Linked DNA regions of Drosophila melanogaster. The protein of the gene in region 1 purifies or fractionates together with the protein of each later gene. This does not show direct contact. Each region holds a gene or a part of one and is shown in the gene's direction. Other genes may lie near its edges.

The links. The genes of interacting proteins can lie anywhere in the genome.
Region 2: the proteins of aPKC (region 1) and l(2)gl purify together in Drosophila melanogaster (affinity purification with western blotting; 6 studies listed by BioGRID, with this or other methods). This does not show direct contact.

What each region holds. Positions count from the first base shown.
Region 1 is NT_033778.4:14,955,449-14,960,263, reverse strand, and holds the start of aPKC (atypical protein kinase C), read left to right. Parts: upstream 1-1,807; 5' UTR 1,808-2,020; intron 2,021-4,815. UniProt on the Drosophila melanogaster protein: Serine/threonine protein kinase which is required for apico-basal cell polarity in the germ line as well as in epithelial and neural precursor cells, for epithelial planar cell polarity and for cell proliferation.
Region 2 is NT_033779.5:18,349-23,304, reverse strand, and holds the start of l(2)gl (lethal (2) giant larvae), read left to right. Parts: upstream 1-1,928; 5' UTR 1,929-2,239; intron 2,240-2,331; 5' UTR 2,332-2,474; intron 2,475-3,284; exon of another isoform or gene 3,285-3,289; 5' UTR 3,290-3,360; coding exon of another isoform or gene 3,361-3,420; 5' UTR 3,421-3,425; intron 3,426-4,734; exon of another isoform or gene 4,735-4,956. Other genes in the region: Ir21a (ionotropic receptor 21a), read left to right, coding at 1-311, 370-562, 618-1,386. UniProt on the Drosophila melanogaster protein: Essential for the development of polarized epithelia, for cell polarity associated with asymmetric cell division of neuroblasts during development, and for oocyte polarity formation.

The sequences.
Region 1 (4,815 bases):
GGTCATTCTGTTTTTCCGAACACCGATATGTAAAACAAGAAAAAAGCCAACTAACGGCCCAGCAGATATGATAACTGCCAGTCGCACTAAACAAAGTTCGTGGCTGGTGTGGGGTTTTGATGGAGAGGGTGTTACAGTTTCCGCTACCCTTTTTATGCGGCTTTGTTTTTGTTCTGGGGAGCAGGCTTCCTGATATTTTGTGGCCAGTCCACATCTTCACATATGTACATACATATCTCCGAATGACAAAAAAGAACAGTGTGTAAGGACAACATGTTGGTTGTTGTTGTTGCATACCCGGTACTTTTCAAGGGGTATGCTGTATTCGTTAAAAACAAGCGTACTCCAAGTTCTTTATTCATCTATTTTTCAGGACATATCCCAAAAATTATGCTACTTAAATATTCAATTGCCTGGTAGTGGGTAGCTTTTCTGTCGCAACACTTGACAGTCTCATTCTTTCTTGTTTTTATTCTTGTGTTATGTGGCCACGTGTGAAAAAATGCGGCTTAAAATGTATTAAAAGTATTCTGTGTGCGTCTGTTTTCCTGCGACTGTGTGTGTGTGCGTACGGGAGAGGGACATTGTCAAGGTATTACGTTACCGTTACACGCACTCCTGCATATGTTAGGATGTCCTGTCTGTGTGTTTGTATGCCGCACATGTTTTCTGTTTGTGTGCTTATTGTTGTTGTGTTGATTAGTAAATGGCTGTTGGTGAGTGTGTTTTGCATTTATACAAGCCCGTGTTTTGACTTCTCTGTTGTTGCTTCTCTTGTTTTTTGGTTTCGTTTTTTTTTTTTAATTTTTTCTTATGTTGGAAAGTGTGTTTCCGTAGAACTTCGCTTCACCTTCCGGCTTCATCTCCGCCCAGCAAAAACCTCTGCAGCTCTCCCAAAAACAAAGCAATACAAAAAGTTAGAATCTGTAAGCTAACGGTATAATTTATGCGCCTGCAATATGGCAACGCTGTCCGGCACACACTCACACACATACGCATATGTACATGAAAAACTTTTGTCCAGGTCCGAAGAACTTTTTTTGCAGCTCATAAGGTCGATACACAAGATGCCATTACCCAAGAGCGAGACAGCGATGGCCAACAGAGAATAGATGGAAGGACAGAGAGAGAGAGAGAGCGAGAGAGCATTTCCCCAGATGCCACAAAAAACAGCTGAGCCAAAGAGAAAGGTATTGCCATCCATTGAATCTAAGATGGCAATGCTAAAGCGCCGGTCTGCGGCTTTTATTTTCGCTCTCTCTCCAAAAGTGAAGTATATTCACAAGGCCACGACAGGCTGTTTGGAGCTAGAAAGAGCGGGGAAGGGAAATTTTCTTTTTCCAATCCTTGGACGAGGACTGAATTTTAGTAACATCTGCCCCACTCAGTTCCGGATCATTTGGATCACCTTCATCCATCGAAACGGATCCGGAATTGTAATTTCAGATTATAGAATTCTTACTTTACTCTTACTCTGTTTACGTGTTGGAATAAAAAATGTTTTTAAAAATTATATTTTTCATTTCTTCATTTTCGAGACAGTCATAGCAAAATAGCTTACCTAAAATGAATTGTTATAAAATATTTTTTTTAATAATAATTTTTTTATAGTCATTCATTAAAAACGTCTACTAAGAAACTACTAAAAGAACAAAACATTTTTTCTCAAATTATCTAGTTTCTTTTTTCGCTCTTGCTCTTTACTTTTTCCATTCGCCGAGACTCGCTCTCAATAGCTTTCTCCATGGCTTTCCGCTACATTCTCCCCGAAAAATTTCCCTAGCATACTTCTCTGCATCGGCATTTCACTCGCGCGTTGGCCGCTCGCCTGTGTGGAAGTGCCGTGCGGATTTCGATTCGAAGATATAACTCCCCGGGCCTTACAAACAAATACATAATTATAGATATATATATACATATACATATATATGTATACAAATATACAAGATTTTGCACAGCTAAACGGCAAATCGAGTTTCTGCGCTGTGAATTAACAAAAGAAAGCGGAAAAATCGAAGTTGTATGTCGGAAAAGGAGTACAAATCAGTGAATAACATAATTCCATATAATTATTTTCTTAAACATTTCCACTCGCTCTTCGGCAAGTCACGAAAATCTTGCGGAAAAAATCAATTGGCCCTGTGCAATATTTTTTGACTGTTCTGCCGAAGTTGTCGTACATTTCTGATTAGTTGCCATACAATTTTCCGCTGAGAGAAGGGGTCGGAAAATGGGGAGGTGGAAAGGCAATGGACGTGGAATGATTAACATAATTTTGTGAATGTTTCTTTAATGAACGTTTTTTAGTGCTGCTAATGAAGTAAAAACTTTATGAAAGAGTTACCCCAGAGATGTGATGGAATTTATGACCGTATCTCGCAAAATCAATATATTTTGAAAGATTATAATTTACCCCTTTATAAAGTATTAATAATAATAATTCATTCTTGTTAAAAAAAAAATTGAATATAAATATGGTTTTTTAGTTTCTATTAATAAAATCCTTGCTTTTATTCACTTTCTTAAAGTATAAAAACGTAAAAAACAAAACGCAGACAAAAACGCAGGTGAAATCCCACACACTAAGCATTTTTCTTTTATATTTTAAATACCTCAGTGCAATACAATTAAAGTTCTAGAACGCTTTAAAAACATACCATTTCCTATGCCTCTATCATTTTGCACTTAGACAAAGGGGAGCAACCACGATAAAAAAATCAAAGAATTGATTTCCATTTTTGTGGGTTCCCTTACACTTTTTCTGCATCACGCTGTTCACTTTTTTCCCAAATTTTTTGGCTGCTGTGCGCCAGACACTGGCAAACAAAACCACACACACTCGCACACTCACACACACTTGCAAACACATATGACGCAAAATGAGGCAGTGTGTGTGTGTGTGTGCGAGTGTGTGATGGTGTGCGAGAATCCCCACCCTAAACTTGACCTCAGGCATTTGCACTTCATCAAGCGCTTCTTGCACCTCGGCGACCGTCTGGTTGCCCAAACTTGGCCCAAACCGACTATACTATATAGACGAGATGGATCCATTTCGTATGCATACATACATATATGTAAGGCATATATGCACATATACTATATATATTTATGTACATATACATATGTATATAATATGAGTCAGTGGGCTAGTAAGAAGCTGCAGGGCGAAACAATTTCTTTTTATTCATTCTTTGCGGAAAGCGTTTTGCTGGCCAAGCTGTCGCCCTGCCATTTAAACTTGTTCGTTTCTTTTTGGCCCGAAGGCTTTCACTCGAACCAGGTGTGTGTGCGTCTCCTTTTGCCAAAGTTAAATCAGCAAATTTCCACTGCTTTTTTGGGTACCCTGGGGTTCTGTTTTTGGTCTGTGTTCCTTTTCTTTTATTTTAGGTTTGCCTATGCAGCCTCTGGCAGATTCGGTACCCAGTTCGCTTGCTAGCTGGCCCCATTATGATTGTTGGGCAAATTTTAATGATGCCATTGGGCTTAATGAAATTATTGTTAGTTCAGCAAACAAGAAAGCCCATTTCGGTATTGTTAGGGGATCAGTGCAAATGTACGGATGTGGGCGGAATTGGTTGCTGGTCATATGTATATGCCTCATTACGGATGCCTATATCATATCGTTGATGCAGAGAGAAAAAGCTATAATTATATTATATTATTAATCATACAGTAAAATGTACAACTTTGAGGACCTTATGCTTAAACTTTAAGCTTTACGAGTCTCAATACTTACATTTTATTTAAATTTGTTTAAGTTGCACATACACAACAGTGTCAAATTTTTCTAGATCCCTGAAGCTCGATTACTATCTGTTTAGCTCTGTTTTAATATAATTTGTATCCATCCATGAAGTTGTTAATATTTATAGAATAAACTAGCGTCTTTATTCACGTTTTAAGGTACATTTCGCAGATGGGCATTCTTTCTGTAAGTGGGAACTTTATGGCATTTCCATTTTGCCGCTTTTCTCTTTTTTAAGCTGTGTGAAATTTTATATCCACTGGAGGTCGAGGTGGGCGGCAGGTGGCAACTCGCCCCGCTTGACGTCACTCGGAAAAGCCAAATTGATGTTTAACTATTGATGCCTCTGGTCCGGAGTATCTGGTATCTGTTGGCCCAAAGATGGTGCCGCAGTCCTTTTGGCGAACATCGCCTGCTCAGGTTTATCGTTATGGTTTCACAGGAAACCCATCTCCCCAAACGCTTCTTTGCCAAAGTTCAAGAGTGGGCGGATGATTGAGGCGCTGGAATGGTCAATAATTCGTGGGCGTGGCGGGCTAAATATCCAAATTTGATGGGTTTCTGATGTAAGCAGTCGTGTGCTTATTTAGGCCATTGAAATTCTTGAATGAGGCCGTAAATAATAAACAATAGCTATTGGGAATATCTAATCAATAGCTTTTTGCTTTAAAAACGCAGCTTTATTGATATTAAACATTTATGGCAGCATTTTTATTAGGCCATGCAATGCAGTGAAAATATATTAAATTACCGAAAACAAAAAACAGAAAACTTAACTTAATCATGTAACAAATTGAAATCAAGAAGTATAAATAGAATAGGATTTAAAGACATCTATTGTGGGCACTTTCCCTATGCAGTAATTAACTAATCGGCTTAAAAACTTTAAAACAAAGCGTGTACTTTAAGCTTGTTAAATAATTTTCTTGTTTGTAAATCAGCTTTAATCTAGCTTAGAGCTGTGGGATTTTAGGACTTTGGTTAGTCCAACAAAAGAGGTTTCTATGGATGGAGCCAGGAAGGCTTTAGTGTAGGTGGCTGGACTGTTGGGTTGTTTGGGATGCTCTGTT
Region 2 (4,956 bases), on another chromosome or scaffold:
ATTTCCGATAGTTTTTACCGACCGTTTGACACTTAGCCATTTAATGGGTAATTGGGGTGAGGTAGAAAACATGTTCTGGTATGTATTTGGCATGTTCACAAACGCTTTCTCCTTCACCGGAAAATACTCGTGGAGCAACACGCGGAAAAATTCCACACGCCTTCTAATTGGAGCATATTGGCTCTTTACAATTATCATTACATCTTGCTACACAGGTTCCATCATAGCATTCGTAACGTTGCCAGCTTTTCCGGACACCGTTGACTCTGTGTTGGATCTGCTGGGATTGTTCTTTCGCGTTGGAACCCTGAGTAAGAAAAGGTTAGGCTCGCTACATTTGTATATAATATTTGGGCTTCTTACTTAAAGACAATGGTGGCTGGGAGACCTGGTTCCAGAACTCGACCCATATACCGACGTCTAGATTGTACAAGAAAATGGAGTTTGTCGGGTCCGTAGATGAGGGCATTGGCAACGTTACCCAGAGCTTCTTTTGGAACTATGCCTTTCTTGGCTCAAAGGCTCAGCTCGAATACCTGGTGCAGTCAAATTTTTCAGATGAGTAAGATCGATCCTTTATTTTTAATCTTCCCACCGTAAACGATATCCTCTTTTAGAAATATTTCCCGCCGATCGGCGCTTCATTTGAGTGAAGAGTGTTTTGCTCTTTTCCAAATAGGATTTCTGTTTCCCCGAGAGTCAGTGTATAAAATCAAAATCGACTCGATGATATTACTTGCCCAGCAAAGTGGTCTTATTGCAAAAATCAATAACGAGGTAAGCTGGGTCATGCAGCGATCATCTTCAGGACGCCTGCTCCAGGCAAGTTCTTCGAATTCCTTACGCGAAATAATTCAGGAAGAGCGCCAATTGACTACAGCGGACACAGAAGGAATGTTCCTGCTCATGGCACTGGGCTACTTTCTAGGAGCCACAGCCCTGGTATCCGAGATCGTCGGTGGGATTACCAACAAGTGCCGCCAAATAATCAAGCGCTCCCGCAAGTCGGCCGCCTCCTCTTGGTCGTCGGCGTCAAGTGGGTCAATGCTTCGCACTAATGCCGAGCAACTTTCCCATGATAAGCGAAAGGCCAATAGACGCGAGGCTGCTGAGGTTGCTCAAAAAATGAGTTTTGGAATGCGCGAGTTAAATCTTACCCGCGCAACGCTTCGGGAAATATACGGAAGCTACGGGGCACCTGAAACAGATCATGGTCAGCTAGACATCGTCCACACTGAGTTTCCAAACAGTTCTGCAAAATTAAATAATATTGAAGACGAAGAATCTCGGGAAGCTCTTGAATCTCTGCAGCGTTTAGACGAATTTATGGACCAGATGGATAACGACGGCAATCCTTCCTCACATACATTCCGTATTGACAATTAATCACAGAAATTTTTAAATGCAAATACAAAATAATCACTTTAGTGCACATGAAATTATATGTATTGAAATAAAAAGTTTGATGCAACAACAAATTTTACAGTTGTTTGGTATTTTGTATGGGAAAGTTTGTGGCAATATATGGTTTTACTTGAAAGCGGATTGGACATGGTCACACTGCCCACAAATCACAACATTGCGTTATAAATGAAGCACATCTAGTTTTGTGTTAAGAAAGTGGTTCACAATTTATATAGCAGGTTATGGTAAAACATCGATCGTTCCGAAAAATTCCGCTCGTTGGCACATTTTCTAAATTTTTCGTGCGACAGCGGTGATTATTATATGATATTATTATGATTATATATACAAAAATTATTATAATTATATAAAAGTTGGCGACCATATCAAAAAGGTTGCTATAAAAACAAATGGCAATTTATAGCGGAGTTTCACTCCCAAAGCGATGTTCTCCACCCATTCCAGTCAGTCATGGTAAATATACCTTCTAAAAAATATATGATTTTTTCGATAGAGATACACGGGCACACTAGACCCACCGATCGCGACTTTGTGTGTGTTAAAATGACGCGCATATCGTTTTGGGCTAATAATATTGTTCACGTTTTATAAAACAGATACACGGTTAAGCTCTGACCGGTCGTATTATTATCTGTGTGTTCTTGGTTGACACGTTTATTTCATTTATTCTCATTTAAAGCAACGATGTGAAGAACAGTGCGGGCGTTTCTCAACATAAGAATACATACAAACTTATGCGTGATGGTGAGCAAATAAAATAGTTCAAAAAATTACTCGGCCACCGCCTTAACCGTACAAACGGAAATACATAAAGGTAAAGGGCTCAACAACAGTATTACTGATTAGGCAATTGATTTATATTTCAAACTTCTTAAATAAAGTGTCCACAAATATGTATGTTCTTAGCATAGAGGCGTAGTCGGTGAGTCAGCCACGCCAACAGTTAACAGTCGTCATTTTGCTGTCTGTCTAACACGCAATTTGTGTGTGTATATGTGAATAAACAGATACCGGTATGCAATCGCAAAGCTGGTCAACTGTAAAGATCGGTATGTACTCAAAATTAGGTCATCACCTTGTTATGCAGATACATTTGGGAAACAGTTGACTTACTTGGTATTGGTTATCAGCCGAAAAGCAAATGGTGATACGGTTTTGCACCTCAGCTTACTCACGGATACATACCTACGTACATAAATGTATGTATACGGTATACAGTCTTAGAAAAAATATTAGTACCGACCAGCTAGCGTTTGCCTAAAACGCTTTTACAAAAATAAACGTATATGTTTTAAGTTGTTTTTTGTCCTAATTAATACATTTATTATTATTTATTTATGAATTTTAGAGCTTTAATAGTAACTAAATTGTTTAAACAAACTTTAAAAAAGATTTACAAATAAAAAAATATTTCGTGTGCGTGACGGAATTGCTAGTTCATTAAAGGGAGGTACATATGTACATACATACACATTGCAAAGAGTACAGATCGCTCATCATTTCATTTTTCCTAATGTACATATACATATGTACAAACATGTTTATTAAACTGCCTACATGCAAATCTTTGAAGTTTTAAGAAAATAAGCACAACTAGTTTGGAAAATCTTGGGAGCCAAGATCTATCTGTCCACTGATTTTCCTATGACTTCAAGAATGTAAAACCCTTTTTGTTAAACAAATTTTGATTAAAGTATACCAGAATAATATTAAACGTATCGTCCGTATCTATAAAAGGTATTAATAGTATTACCTAAATTTAAATTCTCGGTTTTATTCATAAGAGTGAAAAAATATACAAGTTCCTTTTTAATTTTTTACTTATTGAAAATTTGATTAATTTTTATTATTATTTTCAGTTTAGAATAAATTCGGCCACAATTAATATACTTATTTATTCATCAAAACCAAACCACCACAAGAGCATAACCAATCATGTTAAAGTTTATCAGAGGAAAAGGGCAGCAGCCCAGTGCTGACAGACAACGCTACATCGTAAGGTAAAACAAACAATTTTCTCTTTCCGTTCTATTTTTTTTTTTTTAAGTATTTGTAGCCGATTGGTATATTTTGTGGGGTCATTTATTTTGATCTTGGGTGGTAAATACATTTTTATGGAAGTTAGAAGAAAGCTTATAATTTATGAGGAATAAATAAATACCTCCTTTTGAATCTTTTGTTATGTCTTCTCCTATGTGCATACTTTTGGGCATTAACATTTAGGTAAATTTTTTCCACCGCAACTACAAGTAAACCGCATACACACACAGTATTTTGTAGACTCGCGCCACAAAGCACCGCATAAAAAAGGTTACGGTGCTTTTTTGCTCGTTTCTTTTGTGCACTCCTTCTATGCGGTGCCAAATATGAGGAGGTACCTGAAGCTTGGTTGATTTTGTGAGTGTCTTTTTCCACAGCATATTTTTGTGTATTGGCTACTTTAAAAATTCTATTATATCGTTGTGCTCGTAATGTTGTCCATTCCTTTTAAATATTTTCGAATTAAATATACCATAGATGTTTCCCTATTACCATAATAGTTTAATAAATATACGTATATGAAATTTTTTTTATCCTATGTTAGTATAAACATGTTATTCAACAAATAAAAGTAGGTCAGAGGTAATCGCCATCCAGCTCCAGAAAGAGGGGGGAGCTGATAAGATTGCGTTTATGTACCTAATGGGTTGGGTAAGTGGCTTGGTTTCACAAACACCCTTATTTCAGGTACAAAATAAGTATGTCATAGACGGCGTAAAATTGATAAGATTTTAAAGTCAAAAGAAAATGAGTTTATTCGCCTGTAACTGCGTTAGAAATCCAAATACACCCGCAATATTATATGTATAGAAAGAAAAAGTTTGATGCAACAACAAATTTAAAGTTGTTTGGTATTTTGTAATGGAAAGTTTGTGTCACTAAATATGGTTTTACTTGAACGCAGATTGGACATGGTCACACTGCCCACAAAATCACGACATTGCGTTATAAATGAAGCACATCTAGTTTTGTGTTGAAAATGTGGTTCACAATTTATATAGCAGGTTATGGTAAAACATCGATCGTTCCGAAAAATTCCGCTCGTTGGCACATTTCCTAAATTTTTCGTGCGACAGCGGTGATTAATTACAAAAATTATTATTATAATTATATAAAAGTTGGCGACCATATCAAAAAGGTTGCTATAAAAACAAATGACAATTTATAGCGGAGTTTCACTCCCAAAGCGATGTTCTCCACCCATTCCAGTCAGTCATGGAAAATATACCTTCTAAAAAATATATGATTTTTTCGATAGAGATACACGGGCACACTAGACCCACCGATCGCGACTTTGTGTGTGTTAAAATGACGCGCATATCGTTTTGGGCTAATAATATTGTTCACGTTTTATAAAACAGATACACGGTTAAGCTCTGACCGGTCGTATTATTATCTGTGTGTTCTTGGTTGACACGTTTATTTCATTTATTCTCATTTAAAGCAACGATGTGAAGAACAGTGCGGGCGTTTCTCAACATAAGAATACAT